Linked DNA regions of Cricetulus griseus. The protein of the gene in region 1 interacts with the protein of each later gene in a pairwise test. Links are inferred from orthologs where the notes say so. Each region holds a gene or a part of one and is shown in the gene's direction. Other genes may lie near its edges. The genes, in order: Ddx17, Wbp11, Sf1 and Rbm15.

Region 1 (7,302 bases):
GGCTCAATTGGTGAAAGTCCTGACTTTGGAACCCATATAAACAAGAAAGGAGAAAGCCCGCTCCACCAAGCTCTCCTCCGATCTTCACAAACTCATTCTGCAAGAACTATTGACAGCTGAGCCATCTCAGCTTTGGGCTTGTTTTGTTTTGTTTTTGAGACAGGGTTTCTCTGTGTAACAGCTCTGGCTTTGAACTCAAAAGAGATCACCTGTCTCTGCCTCCCAAATGCTGGTGTGCTTCACCACTACCCAGTTTCTGCATTTCTTTTAATGCCAATACGTACACTGGTATTTTGCCCTTGGTGTTTTACACAGCAGCCAAATACTGCTTCTATGATATAGTATGAACTTTGGGAACAGTAAGTGACTCTTGGGCCTGTGCTGTTAGCTAAATTAGGATGGTAGTTCTCAAAGGTAGTAGTGAACTGACAAGACATTGAGTTTTTGATAAATTCAAGTAAGTCTTAAATTAAGTAACTGCCACTTTTTTGGATTTCAAGACCAAAGGTATGTGTCACCACTGCTAGTCTTAACTGCTACTTTTAAGACTTCATGAGTGTCCTTAGTTTTGCTAGTAAAAGTAATAATGCATTCACTTTTTTTCAGAGTATGTGATGGATGTGCTGATGGATCAGCATTTTACAGAACCAACTCCCATTCAGTGCCAGGGATTTCCTTTGGCTCTTAGTGGCCGGGATATGGTTGGCATTGCACAGACTGGTTCTGGGAAGACATTGGCGGTAGGTACCAAGTCTTTGACATTGTAGTAACTTACTTTATTAGCCTAGTTTTCTTACATTTTCTCTGGTCCCATGTTGCCCGCCCCCATCCCCCCATAGGGTTTCACCGGGTAGCTCCAACCAGAGAACTGCCTGTCCCTACTGCCTCCCAAGGGCTGGGATTAAAGTTGTAAGCTATCATACCCAGCTCACATTTTCTCAGTTCTTAGACTCACAGTTAAAATACTGTGTGAAAGCTGGGCATGGTGGGGCACACCTTTAATGACTGTACTTGGGAGGCAGAGACAGGCAGATGGACCTTTGAGTTGGAAGCCAGTTTGATCTATGCAGTGAAGTTCCAGGGTAGCCAGAGCTACATAGTTAGACACTGTCCCAAGAAGGCCAAAAAATAAAATACTATATGTTCAGTATTTTAGCTGTATGTTTACATTGTACTTGAATGTGGTAATATGTTCTAGTTTTCTCACTTTCTATTAGGGCATTGTTAATTACTGATTTAAATTAGAATCGTTACGATAATGGCTTGGGTTTTTATGACATTTTTGATTCTTGTTCCTCCTCAGTATTTGCTGCCTGCGATTGTTCATATAAACCACCAGCCATACTTGGAAAGAGGAGATGGTCCAATTGTAAGTGTGCTACAATTTATAATTTTTAAAAATAACTACATTGAATGATAAGTTGTTTTAGGCACTGTGCCTAAAACCCAATTTAATTACTTTTTTAAAAAAAAAATTATGGAGCCGGGTGTTGGTGGTGCATGCCTTTAATCCCAGCACTTGGGAGGCAGAGGCAGGCAGATCTCTGTGAGTTCAAAGCCAGCCTGGTCTCCAGAGCAAGTGCCAGGATAGACTCCAAAGCTGCGCAGAGAAACCCTATCTTCAAAAAACAAAAAAAAAAACGTTTATGGGTGTTTTCCCCGGGGGTTGGGGAGTGTTTGGTGCCATGGAGACCAGAAGAGGGCATTTAATCCCCTGGAAGTGGAGTTACAGACAGTTGTTATATACAGTGTGGTTGTTAGGAATTGAACCTAAGTACTCTGGATATAGGGCCAGTGCTCTTAACCACTGAATCATCTCTCCAGCCCCTGCCCCAATTTAATTCTTAACCCTTTTCTCCGTATGTAGAAGTGGCTCTAGCCCATCCTTTTTTTGTTGTTGTTGTTTTGTTTTTTGCTTTTTGAGGCAGGGTTTCCTGGAACTCGCTTTTGTAGACCAGGCTGGGTCTCAAACTCTGCCTCTGCCTCCCAAGTGCAGGGATTAAATTGGGCATGTACCACCACTGCCCTGCTTGGTACTGGCCATCTTACTTGGAATTAAATAACTTACCCAAAGTTACACAGCCATGAAATGACAGTGTGAATTTGAGGCATTCTTCGTCTTTCCTGTTTGTGATTCTGGGTAGTTAACTTGTGCCCTTGTGTGTGCTAAGAAACTCTGCTTCCTTGTACCTAGCCTTTGAACCAATCTTTGCAACAATTCAAGTACAAGCCTTTGTTTTAGGGTTTGTTTTTTGTACTGGGGGTTGAACTTAGGGCCTGATGCATGGTATAGGTAAGTATTTAACCACTGGCCTATATCCACAGCTGCAAACACAATGCTGGGTTGCTCATTTTTATTAGTTTTGGTTATTTTTCTGTAGGGAGCAGGTACATGCCACCATATTCTGTGCAAGTCAGGGGGTCAACTTGTTAGGGTCAAGTCTTCCCATCATGTGGGTCTCAGTTCAAGTTTTCAAACTTGGGCAAGCTTCTTTTTTTTTTTTTTTATGTAGAATAGGCTCAGAGATCATCCTTTCTCTGCCCTTCTGTGCTGGGATTATAGGTGCATACCACCATGTCCCTGTCTGATGCAAGCATCCTTACTTGCCAGTGTGCTCTTAACCCATGAGCCATGTCTCCAGCCTTTGGGGGGGCGGGTTCAAGACAGTGTTTCACTGTCTAGCTTTAGAGCCAGTCCTGGAACTCTGTAGACCAGGCTAGCCTTGAACTCAGTGGAGTAAAGGCATGTGCCACCACCACCGCCTGGCCTTTTTTTTTTTTTTTTTTTCCTTCGTTTAATTTTATGTGCATTGTGTTTTGCCTGCATGTATGTCTGTGAGTGAGAGTGTAAGATCCTCCAGAACTGGAGTCACAGACAGTAGAGAGCAGCCAATGTTCTTAACTATTGAGGCATCTCTCCAAGCTTAACTTTTATCTGTATTCCCTGCTGGTATTTATAATTTTGTTGCATGAATTGTCTTGTGTCATTCCTGAGCCGTCGCCCCACACACACAGTGTTTCTCTGTAACAGCCCTGAATGTCTCTGAATTTGCTTTGTAAACCAGGCTGGTCTCAATCTGACAGCAGAGATCCACCTGCCTCTGCCTCCCGAGTGCTGGGATTAAAGGCGTAGGCCACCACCGCCCAGCGACACATGGATATGTTTTATGCTGATTGTTCATCTTGTAAGGTTAAAAGTAGGTAATACAAAACTAAGTGTGATAGTGCATGTCTTTAATTCTGTACTAGTTAGGTAGAAACAGGAGGGTCAGAAGGAACTTCAAGGTCTTCCTCAGCTACATAGCTAAAGGCTAGAGAGTATATAAGATCCTCTTTATTGGACAATAAGGGGGAATTAGACTACCTTTTGGTTCTTAGGGTTATTGGGGTTTTTGTTTTTTTGGTTTTGTTTGTTTGTTTTTTGTTAAACTTGGAGTGGTTGTCTCAAGTTTATTTGCTTCCCCCCCACTTTGTTTCAGTGTTTAGTGCTGGCTCCTACTAGAGAACTTGCTCAGCAGGTGCAGCAGGTGGCTGATGATTATGGAAAGTGTTCTAGGTTGAAGAGTACATGCATTTATGGAGGTGCTCCTAAAGGTCCCCAGATTCGAGACTTGGAGAGAGGTAAAAAAAAAAAAAAAAAAAAAAAATTGTTTTTATTCTTTGCCAATTCTTGTAAATAAAATTGAGCAAAATGGGTTCTTGTAAGGAAATTCAGTATTTTCAGTAGTGTAGAAATTCTTGGGATGCAGTTCTGTTAGCTACTTTGTGGAGAGCAGCTGGTGGCTGGAGATCCTTAACCTACTCTTGTGAAGTCTCCTTACGTCATGCTCTTCAGATACTGTAGGTTTAACAGCTGCTGTGACAGTGGATGCAGCTACCAGGGCTGTTGGGTCTTAGTTTCTGTTTACTGAGGTTTGGATAGTTTATAAGAAAGGGTTCTTCATGGGCTATATCTTTAATTTTTTTTTCCAGGTGTTGAGATTTGCATAGCCACTCCTGGGCGCCTAATAGATTTTCTGGAGTCAGGAAAGACAAACCTTCGCAGGTGTACTTACCTTGTGTTGGATGAAGCTGACCGAATGCTTGATATGGGCTTTGAGCCCCAGATCCGTAAAATTGTTGACCAAATCAGGGTTCGTAAAGCTGATACTTCATTAATATTTTTACCTTTTTGCCTGTCATATAGTTCCTTAATATAAAGGAAAACCTTCATTTCCTGATAGCCTGACCGGCAGACACTGATGTGGAGTGCAACCTGGCCAAAGGAAGTAAGGCAGCTTGCAGAGGACTTCCTGCGTGATTACACCCAGATCAATGTGGGCAATCTGGAGTTGAGTGCCAACCACAACATCTTGCAGATTGTGGATGTCTGTATGGAAAGTGAAAAAGATCACAAGTATGAAAGAATACTTCATTATCTTGTTTGTTTGTTTTTTTAATGGTTTTTCGAGACAGGGTTTCTCTGTGTAGTTTTGTAAACCAGGCTGGCCTCAAGCTCACAGGGATTCGCCTGCGTCTGCCTCCTGAGTGGTAGGACTAAAGGCATGTGCCACTAACGTCTGGCAGTTTGAATTATTTTTGAGACAGGGCTGCACTAGATATCCTAAGGTTGCCCTCAAACTCATGGTCCTCCTTCTCAGCCTCTAAATTGCTAGAATTACAAGCTGTACTATACCAGAGCTAAAATGCCAGGGTTTTTTTAGGTTGAACACATCCTTTGTGTGTCATTCATTGGCGCATTGTAGTTAAATGCGCAATGATCTTGGATCCTTGGAGTTGAATCCAGGCTTTTTAAATGCCAGCTGTATAGTTTTAAGGCAGGTTTAAGGTTTACTTCTCATTGCCTCCTTGTCTGATTTTTGAGATAGGAATAGTATCAAATCAGATTTGCTTGAATCTAGTGTGGATTAGTTGGAATTTGATTTTATTTATGTGTGTGAAACGTGTATGTATCTTTGGCAGTCCTGGAGCTCGAGGTGTGACAAGATGGCTTAGAGCTGCCTCCCATGTGCTGGCTGGCATATGCCACCACACTTTATGTGTTGTTGGGGATTCAACCCAGGGCATCATGCATACTGGTCAAATATTGTAACCACAGTTTTTGTTTGTGTTCCTGCGCCATGCTCATAAAGGCAAGAAAAGAATTGGGATCCCCTGGGGCTAGAATTATAGATGGTTGTGAGCCACCCATAGTGCATGTCCACAGCCAGTGTCCGTCCCCTCTGTAAGAGCAGCAAAAACATTAATCCCTTCAGTTACTGAATTATTTTTTTCTTAAAAAATACTAGATGTAGATTAAAGTATCTGTGACCAGGCTGGGTGTGGTGGTGCAGACCTTTAATTAATCCCAGAGGCCAGCCTGATCTACAGAGTGAGTTCCAGGACAGCTAGGGCTACACTATGACCCCTTGAAAAACAAAGTTAGATTTGAGATCTTCTTTTGGAAGAGAAGGTTCTTGTTATGTAGCTGAGGTTCCCTCTTGAATTCTCCATTCTGCTTCAGCCTCCCAAGTGATACTGGTATTATAGGCATGTTCCACCACAATCTAAACTTTGGGAGTTAATAGCATCTGTGTTTGATGTACAGGAAGGACTTTTACTGTGTGAGGCTGCATTGTTTGGTCTTTTCAGATTGATCCAACTGATGGAGGAAATCATGGCAGAAAAAGAAAATAAGACTATAATATTTGTGGAGACAAAGAGACGCTGTGATGACCTCACTCGAAGGATGCGCAGAGATGGGTGAGTACAGCACATAGGTAGCTTTATGTCAAGTGTTTCTCAACCTATAGGTCATGATCTTTATGTGTGTGGGCCAGGGGAAGTGTCAGACAACCCTTTCACACAGTGGTTGCATATAAGATATCCTTCATACCAGATATTTACATTATGATTCATAACAGTAGCAAAGTTAGTTAATGGAGTATCAATGAAATAATTTTATGCTGGGGGGTCACCACAGGAACTGTATTAAAGGGTTGTAGCAATGGTTTAGAACATGTATGTATGTATGGTATTTTAGCCTGATGTGTATGTATAACTATTATGTAGCTTAAAGAACTTGATCAAAATTGAGTACTAAGACTTTTGTAAAGATTTCTAATATGTAATTTTCTTCTGATAGTTGGCCAGCTATGTGTATCCATGGAGACAAGAGTCAACCAGAAAGAGATTGGGTACTTAATGGTAAGAATAAGACAAAGCATTTTGAGATAGGATCTTGCTATAGATCAGGCTGCCCTTGAACTCACAGAAATCCATCTGTCTCTGCCTCCTAGATGTTGCTAGGATTAAAAATGTATTCTTCTGTGCCTAGCACAATAGTTTTTTGACACCTATTTGTCCTCCCTCTGTGTGTGTGTGTGTGTGTGTGTGTGTGTGTGTGTGTGTGTGTGTGTGTGTGTGTGTAGCAGGGTTTCTCTGTGTAGCTTTGAACCCTATTTTGGCACTGGCTCTGTAGACCAGGCTGGTCTAAACTCACAGATATCTGCCTGCCTTTGCCTCCCAACTGCTGGGATTAAAGGCATGTGCCACCACTGCCCAGCCCACCCCCTGTTTATAAAGAACCAGATAATAGATTATCTGGGGCTTTGTTCATCAAATAATGGGTTGGGTGATTTCTACACAAAAACAAGTGGTCATAGACAGAACTGGCCTGGCTGTGTTCCCCAAGCAGTTTTGTTTGCAAAAGTATTATACTAGATTGTATTTGTAGATCAAAGTTCACCTAGCCTAATTTTAGTTAATTGAACCCTGGGCATTTTCAGTACATCTCCAGAGTTCTTTAAAGTTCATAGTTATATAAATAAAAATAAGTATTTTCAAGTAAAAGGGGCTGAAGAGATGGCCTAGCATTAAGAATACATACTGTTCTTTCGGAGGACACATCACCCATGAGTGGCTCACAACCACTATAATTCTATCTACAAGGGGATTCAGTGCCTCTGAGCATTTACACTCAGCATGCACAGACACCGTTTTAAAAAATACTTAAAATACTTTTTCTCCTTAATTAAATAGGTGTAGTATGAGCTGTACAGAGCTAACATTATGAAAGGCATGAGTCTTGGGTAGGTGGGAAAATGATTTTTCTTCAGTCCATATCTTTTACAATGTTCTTTATAGCCTCTGTTCCCTAACTTGGCATCTTTTTTTTTCCCTTCAGAGTTCCGATCTGGAAAGGCTCCTATCCTCATTGCCACAGATGTAGCCTCCCGAGGGCTAGGTTTGTATAGATAGGTGTCTCTGTTGGTGGTTTGTGTATCTTTTGGTTTTCAAATTTTTTTGTCATGTCAAATTTAG
Region 2 (7,939 bases), on another chromosome or scaffold:
GGAAGTGAACCGTCTTCACCAGCAGCTCCTGGACTGTTTGTCTGACAGCTTCCAGGTCACCAACAAGCTGACCGGGGTTCTGAACACCCACTTGGGCTGTAGGCTGGCCTTCATTGAAATGAAAAGAGATGGAACTATCAAAGAAAACTGTGACATCATTATCCAAGCCGTGGTAAAAATCCAAAAGGAACTGCAAAAGGTGGACGAGGCACTGAAAGACAAACTAGAGCCAACCCTTTATAGGAAACTTCAGGATATTAAGGAGAGGGAGACGGAGAAGATGGCAATTGTGCAAAAGGTCATTTCTGTCATCCTGGGGGAAGCAACATCTGCCGCCAGTGCGGTGGCTGTTAAACTCCTGGGCTCAAATGTCACAACCGGCATAATGAACAAGCTGGTCACTGTGCTAGCTCACATCGGGACGTCTCTCCTTGGTAGCATTGGAGTTGCTGTGCTTGGTCTTGGCATAGATATAATCTTTCGTGCCATCCTGGGAGCAGTGGAGAGGTCGCAGCTTCAAGCAGCCATCAAAAGTTATGAGAAGCATCTAGTGGAGTTTAAGGCAGCCTCAGAAAGGTACCACCATGCCATCACTGAGGTCACCAGAGCCGTGACGCGCCAGATAAGATGAAGTCATGAACCCACCACGGGCATAGCTCTGTGTCTCCCTCTCCACCTCGATGCTCCTTTGTTTAACTAGTTTCATTGCCATATGCCTCTGATGTGGACAGGGATACAGCCAATGGTTTGGAATGCTCGGCTTCTGTGACCCTCGGTTTTACTGGACCCTCAAGGGATAAGTCTCTGTCTGGGAGTTTTCTTCCCCTGCTGTCGTAACTATGTGGTAGAAAGACATCACAGAGCAGCAGATAGGGAATTATTTCCTTGTTCCCAATCAATGTCCTCAAACATCCTGTATAAAGCAGAGGCCATTCCTATCACCCGTTTCAAACATCGCTTAGGTCTAATGAGACAAACACCTGTGACCTTCCAATGACCTAGAAATACTTACATATTTTTACCACTAGGTAAAATCCAATTGTCTGTAAACTGGAAATGACTGCAAACAACATTTTCTTCAAGAATAAAAGGAGACAATGGATCTGTGAGCTTCTACTAATTACAAAGTGTGAATGGATGGATTTGGGAAAGGATAAAATAATAAAACTTGTTTCTATGATGCAATTGACATTGACCAAATGTCTATCGCTTCAGCAGCAGAACACTCTGGAACATTAAACACACACACAAACACACACACACACACAAGAAATAAACCCCAGATATCCATGCATAAAACATACTAGGGTAAGGAAGAAGACTGTACCTTTTAGGAATTTGTCATTTACCACCCAATTTCAGAAACAGCCAGAGGCTAATGGAGGCCTATGGATACAACTTAATTTCTGTAGACACAGCATTTGTTTTCTAAATCCTTCAACTAACAATTCCCATTGAGCCATTTTTTAGGGTCTACTTTGAAAATTATTATACTGGTTTTTTGTTTGTTTGTTTGGTTTGGTTTGGTTTGGTTTGGTTTTTCGAGACAGGGTTTCTCTGTGGCTTTGGAGGCTGTCCTGGAACGCACTCTTGTAGATCTGGCTGGTCTCGAACTCACAGAGACCCACCTGCCTCTGCCTCCGGAGTGCTGGGATTAAAGACGTGTGCCACCAACGCCCGGCTTAATTATTATACTGCTAATGCTGAGAATGTCCTTGTTATAGTTGCTTTGTTTTTTTGAGTACAAAAAAAAAGTTGTTGAAATAAAATACTCAGTATCTGTCAAAAATCTTACAAGTAGATGAAAAATTTTAACTAGCCACATGACTCTTTCAAATGTACTTTTTTTTTTTTTTTGTAATCGCTGCTTTTATGAATTAGTTTCAACTTCTCACAACTTGGGTCACCTTCAGGGTTTTTCACTATTATTATTATTACTACCTGATTTGTAAGTTTTGAACCATTAGATCTTGCTATTGCTGACACTCACAGAGTAATCAAATTTAAGAAGACACCAGGGATTTTTAATACGACACCCAGGTGTGTGATGGCTCATGCCCGTTAACTTCATCAGTCAAGACAACGAGGCAGAAGGATGGGGAGATGGAGGTCTACTGATGGAATAAGCAAGTCGGGGATTCCTAAGGGGCCTGTCTCAAAATTTAACTTTTTCTTTGGGCCGCAACAAAGCTTAGACTAAGTATGCGACTGATGCCACAGCGTCCGGGGCCACAACGTAAAACATTCTACCCATGGGCAGACGCCTCTACCAATAGCTGTGAAATACCTGATGTCAAAAAATCCCTCTTATAACTTTTGTCTGCGCAGGGTCCTCAGATGAAGCTGAAAAACCACCACGCGCGCGCTTTACGGAGATCTCATAGCCAGTGTCTCTCCTTGAAGGGGGAAAGAGAGGGTGGGGAGGCTCTTAAGGGTCGGGGTGTGAAGGGAGAGGAAGGACGCAGACGACGGGGAAATCATTCCGTGGGTGCAGTGACATCACAAAGGACGAGCAGCCCCGGAGCGGGAGCGTCACGTGCCGCCTTCTCCGGGGACATCTGCGGCGCGCACCCGGTTTCTCTCCCAGGACATTTTTGTTTCCCGTGTGTAGATGACAAATGAGTGACTCTCGCTAGGAAATGACTTTTGTGCTCGGCGCGGCACAGGCTGGGTTTCCGGGAGCGCCGGGCGCTTTAAACTCGGCGCCCGTGGCGTCCATCCGGGAACTTGTCTCCCCGCGGAGGCTTTCCCGAAGGACAGCACCCAGTCACACCCCAGCACACCGCGGGGGACAGAAACCAAGCAACACGCGGCTCCGCCCGGGCGACGCGCCGCTACCTGACGTCTGCGCAGAACGGAAACCGCGTCAGAATTCCGAGCGGGGTAAAGCGATCGGCCAATCAACGGGCACCTTCCCTCTTTGGTTCTCATTGGGCGACACCAGTGTCAATCTACGACGCTTCGGAGTGAGGCGGGAGGGGGCGGGGGCGGGGGAGGGGGTGGCGTTCTTGGCCGACAGACAGCCAATCGGACGTGGGATCGGAGCGGAAGCAACTCTGGCCCCGACGACGCTGTGTCCTCTCGATAGTCCCCGGGCCTGGGCAACGCGGTGAGAGCGTCGGCCGCGGGTGCCGGAAGTGACGCGAGGATGGCGGAGGGGCGCGAGGTTTCAAGATGGCGGTGGCTGGGTGGTTGACCGAGAGGCAGAGGTGAAGGCCCCGCCGCCCAAAGCACGCCGGCACCGCCCGCTACCCGGCCTGGCCGACCCGGGAGCCCCGCAGTGGCGTAAGTGTGCGCGGTCGCGACGCTGCGGCTCCCGCCACGGCCTCCGGGGCCCGCGCAGCCGCTTCAGACCCCAGCGCCGGGGGCCGCGCTCTTCCCCCCGCCGGGCCGGGCCGGGGTCGCGGGAGCCGCGGGCGGGAGGGCTCCGGGGCCGGGGTGCTGCGGCGGCCGACGGGCGCTCGGCCGGGCGCGGCCCGCCCGCTGCGTTGGTCCGCTTCCCGTTGGCGGCGGCCGGCCGCTTGGCTTGACGTGCGGCCGCTCGAGTCGGTATCAACCGTCGCCATGGTTTCGGCGGTTGCGGCGGCGGCGGCCTGCGGGCGAGCGGGCCAGCGGGCGGGCGAGCGGCCCCGGCTCCTGCGCTGTCGGGGGCCCGCGGCCCCGTCCTCTCCCGGGCGCCCCTGCGCTGACGAGAGTCGCGCTTGTAGACCAAGACCGTGCGGTCTCGGAAAAATTCTCAGCGGCTCGCGGCTGCCGTGTTTTCAGTTGTGGGAGGGGGCAAAGAAAAATTAAAAAAAAGGTCAAAAGGTGAACCCGAATATATAAAATAGAAAGCTATAGAAGTCTGTATCCGTGCCTGCTTGCTTGCTTTCTTCCTTCCTTCCTTTCTTCCTTTCTTCTAGTTCTCTATAATCAATGCCCTTCTTTTCCCTTCCTCTCCCCATCATCCTGCCCCTCCTCTTTTCGGATAACGAAACGTTTTTATAGTGAAATAGTCTCCGGGCAGTTGATCCCTTGGTGAGAGAAGCATTAACTAGAAAGAAAAACAAAACAAAACAAACAGAAAAAAAACCCTACGAAGTCTTCACAGAGGAGCCAAGGGAATTACAATTGTGGGAGTCTGTTAAAGTTGTCTCGGGATCTACCTATTCCCTACCTTCAAAGGTGTCTTTTTTAAGAAAGAAAGTCGACTGGTTGGGTGTGCAAAGGGGGAATACCTGTAGCCAAATGTCACATCGTTTCAACGGCTAACATTTCTTTACTGTATTATTGGAAAGGTTAAATTTTAAAGTTAACATTCATCCATTTTGAATAGAAGAACTGATACTAATACAAGCTTTGAAATTATTTTCCTACAGTGACCTGCCACTTTTAGTTACCTTAAAATAAATCAAGAGTCATATGTGTTAGTAAGAAAAGTATGTATGTTAATATTAAGATTGGGAAGTTCTATTCATTTTTTTTTTGCTTGAAAGTCATGAGTCATATTTGACTTGGTATTGAGTCTAAATTAAGTATGTTTAAATTAATTACCTTTTACCATCTGTGGGGTTTTGAATGAACAGTGCCTATGCCAAGGAGAAAAGTAGAGAACATATATTTGTCTTTGAGCCTAGAGTCATTATCACTACTTCTCTTTGACTTCACCTTATATATAAAGGGGGAAGGGTGTAGGAAATGAACTGTTGACTTCTTACACTCCAGGTTTGTATCACATTATTAAAACATTTTCTAGTTGGGTTTTGTTTTGAGATAGTCTTTTATGGCCCAGTCCACATTCCAAGTGCAAACTCCTAGTTGAATTTTTTTTCAGTTGACAGTGCTACATAATCCATAGCAGAGTGTTAAATGTGGAGAGTTCATGTGTCTCGTTGCCTTGACTGTACAGATGTTAGCTTTTCTGTGATGAAGAAAGGTAAAGCCATATTATATGTTCAAAATTAAAGAGCAAGTTCTTTTTTTGTTTTGTTTTGTTTTTTGTTTGTTTGTTTTTTTTCGAGACAAGGTTTCTCTGTGTAGCTTTGGAGCCTATCCTGGCCTTTGCTCTGGAAACCAAGCTGGCTTCGAACTCACAGAGATCCACCTGCCTCTGCCTCTCAAGTGCTGGGATTAAAGGCATGTGCCACCAACGTCCGGCAAAGAACAAGTTCTTACAAAATTAATAATCAGAGGGGTATTTCCAGAAATTGATGGGAATTCTAAAAAGGAAGACATGTTAAACATACAGGAAAACTGAGTTCTTTTCTTTTTCCAGGTTTCGTTTTTTTGTTTTGTTTCTTTAATGAAGAAGTAAATCATATAAATTGTCAACATGGGACGGAGATCAACATCCTCCACCAAGAGTGGGAAGTTTATGAACCCCACAGACCAAGCTCGTAAGTGCCATTAGTGTGAAATGATGACGTTGAAGAGTTAAAAACTGCAAAGAATATTTCCCCGAGGCTTAAGCAAGTTCAGCATTGGTAGAAGGGAGTTGTGTGAAGTCATGTTGAATTCTTAAAATTAACTCACATGACTAAAATGTTGAGAGTGTACATCAGTTAAAACCATGTTCTTGTCAAGCTTTGTTGGCTTGCAGGATAAAATTGGATTGTTTTTCTTTTTGTGTTGGAATTTTTAAACAAATGAGTTTTAAGCGCTAGTTTGGTATTTGAGAATCTCTTTTTCTCATTGGTTCAGTTATTTCTGTGAAAAGAAACATTTTAGCATCTGGAGTTCTTAGGGTTAGAAGTGCTGCAGTTGTGCAGTTGTCTGCAGGTCGAAGCCACCGATGCCAGTGCATATCCAGGTGTTGCATAGGGGAGCCTCAGAAGAAAAAAGTGTGTGCTGTCTTGTGGTAATGTTAATGTTGAAGATTTGAGGTATATGGTCTCTTTCCCTCTCTTTAGGAAAGGAAGCCCGGAAAAGAGAATTGAAGAAGGTATGAATTCAGACACATTCTGTATATTGATTGAGATTCATGAATGATAATAACATGTAAATTATATGCTAGAAAAGATGCTTTATACTTCTCATGAAAACCAGACAGTTTACTATGTTTAAAAACTGATATGACTGATAAAACTTTGGACATTCCATTCATAGTGCTTGTTTGACACTGTTTATGTAATTCTCCTGCCTCATAAGTTTAAAAAAAAAAAAAAAAGAATTCGTTGGGGGCCGGAGTAATGGCTCAGTGGATAGCTTCACGTACTGCTCTTGCAGAGGATCTGAGAGTTCCATCCCCGGCATCCATGTTGGGTGGCTCACAGCCATCTGTTCCTCCATCTCCCAGGAATCCAACACCCTATTCTGATCTCCACAAGAACTCATAAGCACATGCCTACACATTCACACAAACACGCCCATATATAAAATTATATTTAAAAATGCCTTTTAGAAATAATTCTTAAGATGATTGTGGTAGCACACTCCTGTAATCTCAGCACTTGGGATGTGGAGATCAGAGACAAGAGTATCAGGAGTTCAAGGCCAGCCTGGGCTACATCAGACCCTGTCTTGAGAAAGTAATTATTTTTACCATGTACCAAAATGTAGCTGCTTTGTTAAAAGCTATTGAATGAATGCCAATAAATGTGTTGGTGGATATCTTTGTGTATCTAATTAGCTATTGAATTTTGACAGAGTAATTAGAGGGGTAAACATTTGGTATCACTCTTCAATGCATTCAGGGCTTTTATAATCTCTGGTATGCTCTCGAGTCTTTCAAAAATATCCCTATCCAGCATTGTATTTTTTTTTTTTTTAATTTAACAGCAGCCCTTTGTTTTTTGTTTTTAAAAAAGTTGTTCCTGTGGTAGTTGCTAACAGTCTAACTGGGTTGAAAGAAATACTTTCTGTGAAAGCATACCTTTTTAGCAATGTCCACACATTGTTGAGAACAAGAAATCTCATAACTGTTCCTGGTGGTTTAAACATGATTTGAAACCAAAGGAAAATGTGAAATGATTTAGATTCTTGAGGCAAATTGAAGTAATAATGTCCTGAGCATCCAGCCTCTTAGTAGTCTTCTCTTTTGTTTTTCTAAGAACAAAAAACAACGAATGATGGTCCGAGCTGCGGTTTTGAAGATGAAAGATCCCAAACAGATTATCCGGGACATGGAGAAATTGGATGAAATGGGTAAGAGTATATGAAAAGGCCAGATTTATTAACAGCTATAATAGTGTGGTCCCCAATGGCAAGCAGCATAGGCCTAAGAAAACCGAGCAACCTGATGGCATAGGACACGACATTTTGTTGTAATGTTTTGGAAATAAAGTGAAGAGATAAGATCCATTGCAAGCTGGAGATCACATGTCCTAGAAGAGAGAAGCCATCATTCAGTTGGGATTACTTAATGTTATTAGGCAACAAAGGCCGAGTCTGGCCAGCTCACTTTATAATTGTTCAGATTTAATTATATTTTCCCTTTGCCGTAATAAGTTAGCAGAATAAAAAAGGACATGCACTCAAATTCTTAGTCAGTAGGAGTAGTGCAATAATATATCTTCTAGATTTGAGTAAATCATCAAGTTATAGGAAGATTTAGGGAAAGAATTTAATTGAACTGGTACTTGAAGAAAAAGGAGAAAATGTCTTAATCATCGGGGCCCTAGTTCCATTTATAAAAATCTGAACTAATTAAAATAGAAAGGTGTGCCTTGGCTTCCATAACTGAGACAGCCCTAGAAAGCTGTCTCTAGGAGGAAGCCCAGAGAGTCTCCAGAGGACTGTTGTGTCTGCTTGCTCTCCTGCACAGCTCTAGTGAACAGCTGCATGGGGTGGAAAGTGGAACACGTGTGTGCGGATAGCGGTAGCCAGGAGACAAGGCCATAACATCACGCAGATAGTGGGAAAGCTGCTCTTTCATTTCCAGTCCCAGGGAGGGCTAGGAATGCAACTCAGGAGATAGCACGCTAGCCTGGGAGTTCCGAAGGAAGATGCGATTGCCTGGTGG
Region 3 (7,302 bases), on another chromosome or scaffold:
GGATAGCTCCAAAGCTACACAGAGAAACCCTGTCTCAAAAAACCAAAAAAAAAAAAGATAGGCTAGGTAGTTACAAACACAACATATTGAAGAATCCACTCTGTTATCCCGCTGTGTTACATTTCCCATGAGTTACTAGAAGCTTTTAGTGAAATCCTCATCTTATGTCATTTCAATGCCACATGCATTCTCTTTGACCCTCATTTTCCATCTTTTACACACCTCCCTACATCAGTAGCTGGTCTGAAAGTAAACTAAGCCAGGTGTAGTAGTAGCACATGCCTTTTACCTAATCACTGGGGAGGCAGGGACAGGTGATCTTTGAGTTCTAGGCCAGCTTGGTCTACATAGGGAGTTACAAGACAGCTAGGGCTGTTTTTGAGACCCTGTCTCAAAACCAAAAACAAACCTGGCAGTTGTGGCACACACCTTTAATCCCAGTGCTCTGGAGGCTGAGGCAAGTGAATCTCTTAAGTTGAAGGGCCAGCTTGATCTACAGAGCAAGTTCCAGGACAGCCAGGGCTACACAGAGAAACCCTGTCTCAAAACAAAAAAGCAAAGATAAAACAAAGACTTACAGAAACTTACTTAGGCCTACTGGTTTATAAAGAAAGGTATGTGGTTTGTTCAGTATTTTAAGTAAAAACTGCAGGTATTGGGGGACTCAGTACAAGTCTGCTTATACAGAAAGTATACGTATGAATTTGTAAAATGTTGAATTGGTTATTAAATGCTTGCTTAAAGAGAGTTTCAAACCTGGTCTTAATGAAAATGGTCTTTGTTCAAATGCTATTTTTTTGTTGTCCCATATTGAGTAGTTTTGGGCTGTGTTTAATATTTATTGAAGAAATAGAAACTCAAGTCTTGCCCTGAGTTTGGTGGGAACCAGGTACTGATGATAACTTAAATGGTGTTGGTTCAGGGTGCCAGTTGTAAGCAAGTGTTGGTGGGGAAGGGAAGAGGTGAATATTTACCTCCTGATAATTGCAATTGTAAGCTGTAGTGAACAGTCTTAACTGCTAACCCCTCTTCCAACAAACTGTTTGCTTCCTTAAGTGATAACCATTTTGAAGTGAAAATTAACTGTAGATGTAAATGGACTCCTGCTGCTAGGTGGTTGGGGGTTTTTGCCTCAGTGTGTCACTGATCAGTCATCCCTTTCAAAGTCTCCGAGTTCTTCATGCTTGTTATTGAGATTTGAGATGTTTTTTGGTAACATTGTCTTTTTTCCATCCTTTTTTTTCTTTCCTAACCTGGTTTCTTCCAGTGCAACTACAGATAGAAGACCTGACTCGTAAACTGCGCACAGGAGACCTGGGCATCCCCCCTAACCCTGAGGACAGGTTGGGAAACAGTTTTAACCAGCTGACAGTAACGCTTTTACCTTTTTCTCAATATGTTTTTACTGGTGGCAACATATTGTGTCAGTTCAATAAAATCCTAGTTAAGACGACTGGTATTCTGACCAGGGTTTAGTAAAATGTATGCTCAGTCAACAGTTAGAAAAGTTGGAATGGTATTTAATGGGAGAATAAGTTAAAGGAAAATGGACAACTGGTTTCTAATTGGTAAGCATGTAGATTGTAACCTGAAAATTTACCCACCCCTAGGGACAGAGAGGGGTGGCCATTAACCTGCCTTTTCACTGGCTGCTTTGGCTGAAAGCACAGGGGGAAGTTTTTCTCATGGTATATTATGCAGGGATTTGAGAGTATTTTTAACCATCACTGAATTTGAGCAGGCCAAGCTTGTTGAAGTCTTACCTGCTTGTGGTTTTGAGATTGTTTTAAAATCAGGAGATTTCTAACCAATTTCCTTCATTGCCAATTAATTTTCAGCCTTGGCCATTGCCTGCGGGTTTTGGGAGGGAAAGGCAAGCAACCAACCCCTAAATTACTTTTTCCTTTTTTAAAGGGAATGTGGGCCTCAAACAGCTGTGGTCATGCCATTTCAGTTTATAATTTCTCTCGCCTCTGAAAAGTTAAAGTTCATGTGAGAGAGGAACTTTTTAAGTGGAATTGTATTGGCTGATAGACCTTTGAACAGCTAATGTCTGGTCACTTAATTGACAGTGAACTTCCACTGAAATCCTTCTTAGTGCATGTAGTATAGTTGAAAAGATTGCTTTGAAAGTGTTTCTGGCTTTTGTTATCCTGGTAATGGCTTTAGAAGTTGCACACAGTTCTGCTGCCCCTTGCCATGAAACAAATGAACTTAATGATGTCTCCATATTCATCTTGTGCCTATCAAGTTTGTTATTTTTTTAACAAGTAGATTTTGATTGGAAAGTTGTATTTTATATTTATTTTTTGATTTGAAGATTTTTATTTTTTAATTTTTTAAAGATTTACATTGTAGGTTATAGACCACAACTGTTTAGTGCCTTTTTGGCCTTTTCCCCTTTAATGGTATGTCTACAGGTTACCAGGCAATTCCTCCAAAGGTTGAGTTTTTAACAAACCTTGTTTGCTTCCTGGAGAACTGGGATTAGAGTGCAGTTGATGTCTCTGATGCCTCTTCTAGGTGAAGAAGTCCGGCCAGTCTAACCTCTAGATTGCTAGCTTTTGCTTTTCACTTCCACAGTTTGGGAAGAGGTTAAATGGTTATGAAGTTTAAGCCTTTAAAAGGCCAGTTTGGTTCTGGTACAATTTGGTATTTAGCCAGAAACATTTCGATTCTAGATAGCAAATGGGGTGGGCATGCTAGAAATGAGTAAAACCAGAGCAGGGATTTTCCTCCTTGTATATATGCTCAATTTTGAAAGAGGCCCTAATGCCTGATTGCTTTTGCTTTTAAGCCCAGGTTGGAGGGAAATACATGAGTTTCTTACCTTACTAAGATGATTTCTTAAGAAGTTGTATTTCAAAATTAAGCCACTTTCTGCTATTTTGATGTTGCTTAACTTGCACAATTAAAATGTTTTAAGATCTGTTGTAGATTTAAATGTGTAAGATGATAGTCTAATGAGCTGGGGATATTTGCTTGTGTTCACTATGGTTGGATTGTGCTAACAGTTCATACAGATGCTAGAAACGGAGGTGTCATTTAGCCGTCATTAGCCATGAACAAACCTGACCTTTTATTCCATCGTGTGTGTAACCTGGTATGACATGGTTCCCTTTAGGCTGAAGACAGTGGGAGCAGCCGAATTCAGTTCTTGCTCTCCAACTAGGCACAATTCTCTCAACTAAACCAAGGGTGTAGGAGTCGGGACTACTTTTCAGGATGTTTTTTAAAATAACCTGATCCACATGGTCTCTTCCCTTCTTGCAGCTGCTACTAAATTTTCATACAGAGTATCAAGCTATGGTCCTTTTTGTAATCTTAACTCAGAATTCTAGGAGTTTAACTTCTCTTTTTTGTTACCGCAAAATCTAGCTGTGGTAAACTGACCATTTTATCATTACATATATATATATATATATAATATTTTTTATTTTTATTTTTTACTTGTAGCGTCAGCATTTTACTCCTTAAAAATGAGAGAGAAATTTCTGCTTTCTGGACTTGTAAACTCTGATGGAGAATTGTAGATCCCCCTTGCTGTTGGCAGGTTCAGACCCTAGACAAGTGTTTGACCAAATCTGCATTTGCAGCCTCTTGCAGAAGCTGCCTTAGCACTTTTAACGGTTTTCTCTACCCAGACTCCCCACCTCGAACAGCCAGCCAGGCCATTGAAGGAAAAGCAGAGACGAAGCCTTGCACCATTTCTCTCCATTGTGGGGGCTAAGTAGCTGTAATAGCTTGAGTCCCAGCTGCTTTGGGTGAACGAGCTTGTGTTCACTATGTGGCAGGGGTACAGATGCTCTTCCTAATAAGACAGTTCACCTATACTCATGTTTCTGTGGTTCATCAAGTTGGGTTATAAATTTTTTCAAATGAAAGGATCATTTGGCAAGAAGCCTCCAGAGGATGATACTGTTCTTGCCAGTAAAGGTCCAAAGGTTTCCCTTTAATGGACCCTTCCTCAGTCAATTTTAGAAGTGAAGGAATTTTTCCTTTTCTCACATATACCCTACATTGCTTAATGTTAAGTCAGATTCCATCTCCCCCATTCCACACGATCTTGAATAGCACACGTTATGGTCGGTTCCTCCGAAGAGTTTTGTTAGGATCTGAGAGGCAGAGGGCTGGGGAGACTTGTTATAGTCCATACATATGGGAGCAAGGGGAATTGGGGGCAGAGCAGTAATGGGGATCTGTCTCCCACAGGTCCCCTTCCCCTGAGCCAATCTACAACAGTGAGGGGAAGCGGCTTAATACTCGAGAGTTCCGTACACGCAAAAAGCTTGAAGAGGAGCGACACACCCTCATCACAGAGATGGTCGCCCTCAACCCAGACTTTAAACCACCTGCAGATTACAAGTAAGCAGAGTCACAGGTGGTTTGGGACAAGGGCACATTCGGATCATACGTGATCTGCTGGGACGATTCTGGCTTACTACTTACCTTTTGGCCATATTATCCTTAATTCTCACATGGTATATTCTTGATTAATTGTGTACCACCTCCCAGAAATTGAAATGGTGATGGTCTTTTCTTTCTCAGGCCTCCAGCAACACGTGTGAGCGATAAAGTAATGATTCCCCAAGATGAGTATCCAGAAATCAATTTTGTGGGTCTCTTAATTGGGCCCAGGTGAGTAATTACTAGTCCATGGCACTCATTGACTTATCTTCAAGGTTTGAGATTTTTATTGTGTTTGGGTTTTGGTGTGATGTTTTGGCTGAATTATGCCTTAAATTTGATCTACACACACACACACACACACACACCTCCATTTTCTGTGGTGAAGTAAAATCCTGAAATGCTGACCTTAATGTGGTATTCTTTTTTGGTTTTTGGAGGCTGTCCTGGAACTAGCTCTTGTAGACCAGGCTGGTCTCTAACTCATAGAGATCACCTGCCTCTGCCTCCTGAGTGCTGAGATTAAAAGCATGCGTCACGAACACCCAGCTTTAATGTGGAGTCCTTGGTGGGGAAATCTTGGTGCTCTGCATTTTGCAGTTTGCTACCAATGACTACTCAGCCCAGTGTTTTTAATCTGAAATAAGAATTTGCACTGAATGTCTAACACTCTTTTCTGCTTTTCAGAGGGAACACCCTGAAGAACATTGAGAAGGAATGCAATGCCAAGATCATGATACGGGGGAAAGGATCTGTGAAAGAAGGGAAAGTTGGGCGCAAAGATGGTCAGATGTTGCCCGGAGAGGATGAACCTCTTCATGCTCTGGTCACTGCCAATACAATGGAGAATGTCAAAAAGGCAGTAGAACAGGTGTGTGGTGAGCCCAGGAGGAGGCTTCTTGCTGGAAACCTAGGTGATGGCCCCAGGCGCTTGACAACTAACTGCTGGTGTTTCTTAATAGATCAGAAACATCCTGAAGCAGGGTATTGAGACCCCAGAAGACCAGAATGATCTACGGAAGATGCAGCTTCGAGAGTTGGCTCGCTTGAATGGCACTCTACGGGAAGATGATAACAGGTCAGTGATAATGTTGAGAAGACTTCCTAGAAATCTCAAGAACATTTTGAAGTGGAAAGGTGGTCTCTACAGGTCTTTGAATTGATCTCTCTACCTCAACAGGATCTTAAGACCTTGGCAGAGCTCAGAAACACGCAGCATTACCAATACTACTGTGTGTACCAAGTGTGGAGGGGCCGGCCATATTGCTTCCGATTGCAAATTTCAGAGGTGAGATCTGGCTGCTGTTGAAATGGCTCCCTAGCAGCCCAGTGGTCTTCAGGATTCTCCTTTCCATACTGGCTGTGGTTAGTCTTACTAAAGCAGCATCCTTTCTGTGGATGTGGCTGGGTGGTGTGAATTTTAAACTTAAGGGTCTTGAGTAGAAGAAACTTGTAGAGCCTCCTGTTGTCTTGTCCAGAAGCTTACACTCTGGCTATGTATCTGTTGGGTACAATATTAATGAGTGTTCACTGCTTAAGATTTGTTAAGACCAGTGGGTTTTATTTCCATATGGCCCTTTTTAGGGGGAGATGGATATAGTTTGTTTTTCTAGGTCTTGCATAAAAATTCCTTTTCTCTCAAACAGGGAAGATAGAGGTAGAATTTTTGTATTTTTTAGACTGGGTTTTTCTTATGCATGTATGTCTATACTGTAGTGGTTGTGGAGATTAGAAGAGATTTTTAGATCCCTTACTTAGATCTGAAGTTAGGGGCAGTTGTGAGCTGCCATGTAGGTATTGGAAATTGAACCCAGGTTCTTTGCAATAGCAGTAAGTGCTCTTAACCCATCTCTCCAGCCCATGGAGGTAGGGTTTGGTAAAACATGAGAGGTGAGGGTCTGGAATGGTGGTTGGTCACTTCTAACCTAGGGCCTGGACTGTGGCTGACAGTGGAGAACCATTTCCAGTGAAGGGCTAGAAAAGAGGGCAACATCCTTGATTGAAATAGAGCTTTCTTGATTATTTTCTCCTTTCTTTGTGTTTCCAACCCTACCTTAGGCCTGGCGACCCTCAGTCAGCCCAGGATAAAGCACGAATGGATAAAGAATATTTGTCTCTTATGGCTGAGCTAGGGGAAGCTCCTGTCCCTGCATCTGTGGGCTCCACCTCTGGACCTGCCACCACACCCCTGGCCAGTGCACCAAGACCTGCTGCTCCTGCCAGCAACCCACCACCACCGGTGAGCCCTGGGACAATTCTCTGGTCTAGCTCCCCCATTCTCTTCTGCAAAGAGACTAGGAGCTTTGGCCAAAGATCTGGGGTAAAGCTTAGAGGTGAATGTAGCTGGCAACATTGTTCTTCTGGGATGTCAGGCCTTTGTGGGGTCTCACTGTGGGAGAATCCTGTGCTTGTGTTCTGGTCTCGGGACATAGTCAGAAGAACAATGTTGCCACCAGGGGGAGCAGGCATGGACATTGGCAGGAAATGCTCTCATGTAGTCTCTTATGTCTACAACGCAGAGTCGCCCACCCTGGATGAATTCTGGTCCTTCAGAGAATCGGCCCTACCATGGCATGCATGGAGGTGGTCCTGGTGGGCCTGGAGGTGGGCCCCACAGCTTCCCACACCCATTACCCAGCCTGACAGGTGGGCATGGTGGACATCCCATGCAGCACAACCCAAATGGACCACCACCACCTTGGATGCAGCCACCACCACCACCGATGAACCAGGGCCCCCACCCACCCGGACACCATGGCCCTCCTCCAATGGGTAAGTAAGTGTCAGACCAGAAACCTTGGGGTTTGTGGGGGATGGATAGGCTCATACCAAGTGACTCTGAGCTGTAAGCAATGCTGAATGGCTAGCCAGTGCTCTGAATCATGCTGAGGCCTC
Region 4 (8,032 bases), on another chromosome or scaffold:
AGATGTGGAAAAGTTCTACCAAACGACAACCCACTAATCCTGGCATGCTTCAAGCACCATCACACATATTGTCCCTTTTCATCTCCTTCAGTTTTTTTTTTTCTTAGTTCTAGTGCTCTTAAAACTCCTACACTGATTGGTCCTTATCTTTCCTTTGGATCAGTGAGTCATTTATGTTAATCAATGTAGGCTAAAAATAGTCACTTCTCCCTAGGCAATGTGGCACATGCCTTTAATCCCAGCATTTGGGAGGCAGAGGCAGGCGGATCTCTGTGAGTTCGAGACCAGCCTTGTCTACAAGAGCTAGTTCCAGGACAGCCTCCAAAGCCACAGAGAAACCCTGTCTCAAAAAAAAAAAAAAAAAAGCCAAAAAAAAAAAAGTCACTTCTCAGTTTTTCTGGATTGGCTATTACAGTAATCAGGCAAAGGCTTAACTTCAATTCCCTTTTTGTAGTATGCATATAATCTTGAGATAGATTAGCACACCTCTGAAAAGCTTTTTCATTATGTAGGAATGATGGATTCTACATCTGAGGCAGAAACTGTATCAAGTATGCATGGAACAAAATAATGGAGCAGGGAAGAATAGGAATAGGATTGTAGATTTAAAGAAAACGATTGACATGATCTTACAATTGTTGAGACTGTGTGCTCAGCAGATAGGATGGTCTTCAAAATATATTCTACTACTGAAGGGACTAGCTTCCCTTTCGGCAGCCATAACAGCCGAATATATGCTTGCCATAACTTGCCTTGGTCACTTAGAGGTCAGATGCCTTCCTTGTGACAAGGAATCAATCAGAAGTTAGCTGGTGGCGCTATGCTTTACGACCCTGCGTGTGTGCTTTACGGACAAGTGCACAGCAATGACCCACAAAGCATAGCAACCACCCTGGGAGGGCCTATGGGCCATAACAACCAGTTGACCAATCAACACAGGGCAAGCCGAGCTGTCTTTTTCTAGCCATCCGCCATGGCGGGTGGGTAAAAGACCCCAGCTAACATGGGGTTAGCTCATTAAATTACAATAAAGCCTCATGCAGTTTGCAGCATGCTCTCGGATCTGCCTGGTGATTGGGGTGACCGAAGCCCCGGATACCTGAGTTTTCCGGGGATCTAACACTACTGTATATTTTTAAACCAAAATTATACAAGGAAAATTTTCATTTATAATATCAAAAGTCCCTTGCTAATTCCAGATCCTCAGCTCTGTCTCTGAGAGCAATCTCTGTAACTATCAATTAAAAATACAAGCATATAGCCGGGCATTGGTGGCGCACGCCTTTAATTCCCAGCACTCGAGAGGCAGAGGCAGGTGGATCTCTGTGAGTTCGAGGCCAGCCTGGTCTCCAGAGCAAGTGCGCCAGGATAGGCTCCAAAGCTACACAGAGAAACCCTGTCTGGAAAAACCAAAAAGAAAAAAAAATACAAGCATATGTATATGATACACATACAATGTTAAAAAACACAATTGGTAGTTTATCATACACATTTTTCTCTGACTGGTGGTATTTTATGTTAACAGCCTTTTAAAAAATTATTTTTGCCGGCCTGGAGAGATGGCCCAGGGGTTAAAATTACTTGCTGTTTTAAAATTACTTGCAGTTTGTTCCCCAGGGCTCAGGTTGACTCACAATTCTGGGATCTTCCGGGGATCTGTCACTCTCTTTTCGCTTCTCTGGACACCAGAATACTAGCATACATGCAAACACACACATACATACAAGCACGCACGTGTGTGGTCTCAATATATAGTCCTAGTTGATCTAGAACTCACTATGTAGACTAAACTGGCCTTGAACTCACAGACATCTTCCTGTGCCTGCCTTTCAAGTGCTGGGATTAAATGAGTACATCATGTCCTGCTAAAAAAAATAGTCTTTTGTTGTTGTCATTTTGTTTTTTTTCTGTTTTTCTGAGAAGGGAGGGTTTCTCTGTGTAACAGCCCTAGCTGGAACTCGCTTTGTAGATAAGGTGGCCTTCAACAGAGAGACCCATCCATCTGCCTCTACCTCCTGAGTGCTGGGGTTAAAGGTATGAGCCACCTTGCCTGGAAAAAAATAAGACTTTAAAACCCATTTTTTCCCCCAAGTACTGGGGCTTGAATCTAGAGCTTCATACATGGTGCCCAAGTCTCCAGACTTCTTTTGTGTGTGAGTGGTTTTGAGGTTTTCAGGCTAATGAGCTGGGATTACAGCTATTCCACAATGCCCCACAAGAGTTATTTTTAATACAAGTATATCTGTGCATTACAGTATTTGGAGGTTTATAGTTAACATATTGATTGGGCTTCTTCTTTCAAATCCCTTTGATGTGATCAAGAAATTTTGGCCGGAATGTTCTTGGGGAGACTGCAGGAAGCCTATTTCTCTTCACCAGAAGGCAAATGCCAGTGCAACAGACTACCCGTCTAGTCTCATGATCCAACAGTATTGCACAAATTTACCCAACACACAATAAAGGTACCTGGATGGTGTACCGGGAGTTGAGAAGTGGATCATGATTAAAAGACTTAAAGAGGTGGGCCTAGGGAGGTAGCAAAGTGCCCGTGTTCCTGGATCCTAGTAGGAATTAATCGGGAGTGCTGCGGCACAAGAAACCAGAGAAAGTGTCAAGTGTCCGCACAGCGAGAAGCGTTACATATTAAAGGTAAGCACAGCGATATCACGTTCCATGGCTTTTACAAATGCAAACCCTACAGGGATTCACAACCTAAAACAGGCGCCAGGGAAGGTCTGCAGTGGCCCGCAGGTCGGACCAGTAGGCCTGGAGGCTGTGAACACAGGTCACCGCGAGCCCTGGGGCGGCCACGTCTCCGGGGCGCCGTTTCCTATGTCCGCGGGTGGGCGGGCAGAGACTCGGTACCGCCCAGGGCGTCAGCGTGACCCGAGGCTCAGTGAACCCTGAACTCGCCGCCCCGGCCAGCTGCACAGACCCGGGCAGGCGCTTTCTCGCGCACGGGGGTGGGGCTTTTCCAGGCTGCTAACTAAGATGGTGTCGGCTGGACTTCCCGGGACAGCTGCCTAAGGGGATCGAGGGCCAGCAGCCGGAGGGACCACCCGGCCCACTGTCCGGCCCAGACAGCACCGACCGTGCGGAGCCTGCGGGTTCCAGACTCGAAGGACCGAAGCACAGCCAAGTACGCCGTAGGACCTAACAAATGTTTAAGAGAACGCCGAAAGCGCGGGGAGGCGGGCCCGACTCGCTGTCACCGTCTCGCGACAGCTAAGTGACGTCGCACGGCAAGCGCGTGTTCTAGTCTTTCACCTTCAGACGCCTCGGTTTGTGGGCCTACTCCTTTAAGTAAGTGATGGACAGCGCTGTTACCCTATCAGCTTCCTCGCCAACGTCCAATCAGATTTAAACTTCCTCCGGCCGCCGGAGAAGTTGGAAGACTGGGGTCGAAAGGGAGCGAGCGGGCGAGCGAGCTCTTTGTGTCTCGCGAGATCGGGAGAGCCAAGTTTTCAGAAAAAAACGCCAGAACCGAAGTCCGTACTTCCCAAGGAGTGGTTTAAAGGACGTGGCCACGGACCAATGAGAGGAAAGAGGAGGTGGGACCACTGCTTTCGCCGTGCTAGAAGTACCGTTACAGGGCAGACTTTTTGTCCAATCAACGACTCGAGGCTTCGGGTCAGGTGACCGTGAAGTGCGAGGGGCGGAGCTACGGCTGGCGCGAGGAACCGTTAAGATAGACAACGAATATAACCAATGAGGTACGCGGATTAGGGCGTTGGGAACCCAATAACAGCGTCGAGGCGGGCGCCTTCCCGGAGCGCGGGGAGATGTAAAGACGGACAAATAGTTTTTCCAATGAGAAGGCTGAAGAGTGAATTAATTGACCAATGAGGTCTGCGGGGCGGGAGCCTTTGCCGCGGCGGAGTCCAAGATGGCGGCGTGCGAGTCCGCTGTGTGAAACGAGCGCGGGGTGGCGGGTTAGTCAGCTCCGCAGAGACGACCTCCGGCGACCCTCAACAATGAAAGGAAAGGAGCGCTCGCCGGTGAAGCCCAAACGCTCCCGCGGCGGTGAGGACTCCAGTTCTCGTGGGGAGCGGAGCAAGAAGTTAGGGGGCTCTGGCGGCAGCAATGGGAGCAGCAGCGGGAAGACGGACAGCGGCGGGTCGCGGCGGAGCCTTCACCTGGATAAGTCCAGCAGCCGAGGTGGCAGCCGCGAGTATGACACCGGTGGGGGCAGCTCCAGCAGCCGCCTGCATAGTTACAGCTCCCCGAGCACCAAAAATTCCTCAGGCGGGGGCGAGTCGCGCAGCAGCTCCCGGGGTGGAGGCGGGGAGTCACGTTCCTCTGGGGCCGCCTCCTCAGCGCCTGGCGGCGGGGACGGAGTGGAGTACAAGACCCTGAAGATAAGCGAGTTGGGGTCCCAGCTGAGCGACGAGGCGGTGGAGGACGGCCTGTTTCACGAGTTCAAACGCTTCGGTGATGTAAGTGTCAAGATCAGTCACCTCTCGGGTTCTGGCAGCGGGGATGAGCGGGTAGCCTTTGTGAACTTCCGGAGGCCAGAGGACGCGAGGGCGGCCAAGCATGCCAGAGGCCGCCTGGTGCTCTATGACCGGCCTCTGAAGATAGAAGCCGTGTACGTGAGCCGGCGCCGCAGCCGCTCCCCGTTAGACAAAGATACTTACCCTCCGTCGTCCAGCGTGGTCGGAACCTCTGTCGGTAGCCACAGGCACGCCCCTGGAGGAGGTGGAGGTCAGAGATCACTTTCCCCTGGCGGTGCTGCTTTGGGATACAGAGACTACCGGTTGCAGCAGTTGGCTCTTGGCCGCCTGCCGCCTCCACCCCCACCACCATTGCCCCGAGAGCTGGAAAGAGAACGAGACTACCCGTTCTATGACCGAGTGCGCCCAGCTTATAGTCTTGAGCCAAGGGTGGGAGCTGGAGCAGGTGCTGCTCCTTTCCGAGAAGTGGATGAGATCTCGCCCGAGGATGATCAGCGTGCTAACCGGACACTTTTCTTGGGCAACTTAGACATCACTGTGACAGAAAATGATCTAAGAAGGGCTTTTGATCGTTTCGGAGTCATCACAGAAGTGGACATTAAGAGGCCTTCTCGTGGACAGACCAGTACCTATGGTTTTCTCAAATTTGAGAACCTAGACATGTCTCACAGGGCCAAACTAGCAATGTCTGGCAAAATTATAATTCGGAATCCAATCAAGATTGGTTATGGTAAAGCCACACCCACCACCCGACTTTGGGTGGGTGGCCTGGGACCTTGGGTGCCTCTTGCTGCCCTGGCACGAGAATTTGATCGATTTGGCACCATACGAACCATTGACTACCGAAAAGGTGATAGTTGGGCATATATACAGTATGAAAGCTTGGATGCAGCTCATGCTGCCTGGACCCATATGCGTGGATTCCCACTCGGTGGCCCAGATCGTCGCCTTAGAGTAGACTTTGCAGACACAGAGCATCGTTACCAGCAGCAGTATCTTCAGCCTCTGCCCTTGACTCATTATGAACTAGTGACAGATACTTTTGGGCATCGAGCGCCTGACCCTTTGAGGAGTGCTCGGGATAGGACGCCACCCTTACTATACAGAGATCGTGATCGGGACCTTTATACTGATTCTGATTGGGTGCCACCCCCACCACCAGTTCGAGAACGCAGTGCTCGTGCTGCAGCTAGTGCTGTGACTGCTTATGAGCCACTGGATAGCTTGGATCGAAGGAGGGATGGCTGGTCATTGGACAGGGACAGAGGTGATCGGGATTTGCCTAGCAGCAGGGACCAGCCAAGGAAGAGAAGGCTGCCTGAAGAAAGTGGAGGACGGCATCTGGATAGATCACCTGAGAGTGACCGGCCACGAAAACGTCATTGCACTCCTTCTCCTGACCGAAGTCCAGAACTGAGCAGTAACAGAGATCGCTACAACAGTGACAACGATCGATCTTCTCGTCTTCTTTTGGAAAGGCCCTCTCCAATCAGAGATAGACGGGGCAGTTTGGAGAAGAGCCAGAGTGACAAGCGAGACCGTAAAAACTCTGCATCAGCTGAACGGGATAGGAAGCACCGGACAGCTGCTCCCACAGAGGGAAAAAACCCTCTGAAAAAGGAAGAACGTTCTGATGGCAATGCACCCAGTGCCAGCGCGTCATCATCAAAGCAGAAAGCTCCTTCCCAGAAACAGGATGGAGGGACAGCTCCTGTGGCAGCATCCTCTCCCAAACTCTGTTTGGCTTGGCAGGGCATGCTTCTACTGAAGAACAGCAACTTCCCTTCCAACATGCATCTATTGCAGGGTGACCTCCAAGTTGCTAGCAGTCTACTTGTGGAGGGTTCAACTGGAGGCAAAGTAGCCCAGCTCAAGATCACTCAGCGTCTCCGTTTGGACCAGCCCAAGTTGGATGAAGTAACTCGTCGCATCAAAGTGGCAGGGCCCAATGGTTATGCCATACTTCTGGCTGTACCTGGAAGTTCTGACAGCCGATCCTCCTCTTCGTCAGCTACATCAGACACTGCCACCTCTACACAGAGGCCACTTAGGAACCTTGTGTCCTATTTAAAGCAAAAGCAGGCAGCTGGGGTGATCAGCCTCCCTGTGGGGGGCAACAAAGACAAGGAGAACACAGGGGTTCTTCATGCCTTCCCACCTTGTGAGTTCTCTCAGCAGTTCCTGGATTCCCCTGCCAAGGCACTGGCCAAATCTGAAGAAGATTACCTGGTCATGATCATTGTTCGTGGTGCGTCCTAAAGTCCATGTGTAACTTGTATTTACTATTTTGACATGGTTCCTTGTTTTGTGATATGTAATGGGATACAGCATCAGATAAATTTCTTTCAATTAGTTTAGTTGGTTTTTTTATATATATATTTTTGTAAACCTCCTTAAAATAGATATTGGGGCGATTTAGCTATTATTTTAAGTGAAAGGGATGCCCTGAAGGTAGCAAGAGGATGGATTTGCTTTAATTAGGAATTACTTTTCTTTTTCTTCTGGTATTTTTTTTTTCAGTCTCTTGAGTTTAAAAAAAAATCCTCAAAATGATAAAACCTACAACTTTTAGAATCATAATTTGGAGGAAAGAGCCTTTTGTACTGAAAAAATAGTGTGATTGGTGCATAGATAGTTTCTATACTAGAAGCATTAATCAGGTATTCCAAAGTTCAATTATTTTAATCAGGTATTTGAGTATTTTTCTTATTCCCAGAAAGTTTGCTTGCTTTAACATTTATGTCATTAGTTTTTGAGTTTTGTATCCTGTGTATGTAGCTGTAATTGGTAAAAATTGAGGCTTGTGTTATAAACCATTTACATCTTTAGCTGGTCTGCAAGAAATGAGTAAGTGCTTTTAAAATGAGAAGTTTTTGGTAAGTTAGGTGCACAGTGGTGTTTTTATTGACTTTGAGGGGTACAGCAAATACAGTTTTAATTGTGTATACTTCAAAACCAAAAATTAAGTTTTTTGTATCCATTTAAGAAATTTCTGATTCCAGTAATAGAAAGAACAGCTGTCTGCAGGCTTATAAGTAACTCCCCCCCCACTCCCATGGTCATTAATCAAACATCTGAATTACAGATTTTTTTTAAGGTTATTGTAAAATGCCCTTGATATATTTGAAGAAAATTCCTTCATATTTTATCTTCATATTTAAACCAGAGTAGTGGCATTACATTGTTGACAGTGTTTTGAATATCTTTGAAATTTAATGTCTAGTATTCTAGTATTTTGACTGCTCTCTGGCCTTATAGAGGTTTGAAGTGTCAGTGTTAGAAACCCCTTTTTCTTTTTCTTTTTTTCTTTTTTTTGTTTTTTGTTTGTTTGTTTGTTTGTTTGTTTTTCGAGATAGGGTTTCTCTGTGTAGCTTGGAGCCTATCCTGGCACTCGCTCTGGAGACCAGGCTGGCCTTGAACTCACAGAGATCCGCCTGCCTCTGCCTCCCGAGTGCTGGGATTAAAGGGATGCACCACCAATGCCAGGCTTAGAAAATCCTTTTTTATTTGATTTCTCAGGTGTTTAAAAAAATTAAACACCTGCTCAGAACTCACCCACCCCACCCAAAATAAAAAGC

The links.
Region 2: the proteins of Ddx17 (region 1) and Wbp11 interact in a two-hybrid assay, tested with the Homo sapiens proteins (3 studies listed by BioGRID and IntAct). The link is inferred for Cricetulus griseus from reciprocal best matches to the Homo sapiens genes DDX17 and WBP11.
Region 3: the proteins of Ddx17 (region 1) and Sf1 interact in binary tests that used the Homo sapiens proteins (3 or more experiments, as listed by UniProt). The link is inferred for Cricetulus griseus from reciprocal best matches to the Homo sapiens genes DDX17 and SF1.
Region 4: the proteins of Ddx17 (region 1) and Rbm15 interact in binary tests that used the Homo sapiens proteins (3 or more experiments, as listed by UniProt). The link is inferred for Cricetulus griseus from reciprocal best matches to the Homo sapiens genes DDX17 and RBM15.

The regions. Positions count from the first base shown.
Region 1 is NC_048595.1:376,706,041-376,713,342, reverse strand, and holds part of Ddx17 (probable ATP-dependent RNA helicase DDX17), read left to right. Parts: intron 1-606; coding exon 607-740; intron 741-1,303; coding exon 1,304-1,369; intron 1,370-3,479; coding exon 3,480-3,621; intron 3,622-3,972; coding exon 3,973-4,133; intron 4,134-4,223; coding exon 4,224-4,396; intron 4,397-5,631; coding exon 5,632-5,742; intron 5,743-6,124; coding exon 6,125-6,186; intron 6,187-7,165; coding exon 7,166-7,225; intron 7,226-7,302. UniProt on the Homo sapiens protein: As an RNA helicase, unwinds RNA and alters RNA structures through ATP binding and hydrolysis.
Region 2 is NC_048601.1:12,197,307-12,205,245, forward strand, and holds the start of Wbp11 (WW domain-binding protein 11), read left to right. Parts: upstream 1-3,119; 5' UTR 3,120-3,285; intron 3,286-5,254; 5' UTR 5,255-5,311; coding exon 5,312-5,375; intron 5,376-5,888; coding exon 5,889-5,920; intron 5,921-7,028; coding exon 7,029-7,122; intron 7,123-7,939. Other genes in the region: Smco3 (single-pass membrane and coiled-coil domain-containing protein 3), read left to right, coding at 1-631. UniProt on the Homo sapiens protein: Activates pre-mRNA splicing. May inhibit PP1 phosphatase activity.
Region 3 is NC_048596.1:52,982,736-52,990,037, reverse strand, and holds part of Sf1 (splicing factor 1), read left to right. Parts: intron 1-1,267; coding exon 1,268-1,343; intron 1,344-4,212; coding exon 4,213-4,365; intron 4,366-4,548; coding exon 4,549-4,638; intron 4,639-5,094; coding exon 5,095-5,278; intron 5,279-5,369; coding exon 5,370-5,485; intron 5,486-5,587; coding exon 5,588-5,695; intron 5,696-6,465; coding exon 6,466-6,646; intron 6,647-6,905; coding exon 6,906-7,179; coding exon of another isoform or gene 7,180-7,183; intron 7,184-7,302. UniProt on the Homo sapiens protein: Necessary for the ATP-dependent first step of spliceosome assembly. Binds to the intron branch point sequence (BPS) 5'-UACUAAC-3' of the pre-mRNA. May act as transcription repressor.
Region 4 is NW_023276806.1:49,810,910-49,818,941, forward strand, and holds the start of Rbm15 (RNA-binding protein 15), read left to right. Parts: upstream 1-2,933; 5' UTR 2,934-3,842; coding exon 3,843-6,702; intron 6,703-8,032. UniProt on the Homo sapiens protein: RNA-binding protein that acts as a key regulator of N6-methyladenosine (m6A) methylation of RNAs, thereby regulating different processes, such as hematopoietic cell homeostasis, alternative splicing of mRNAs and X chromosome inactivation mediated by Xist RNA.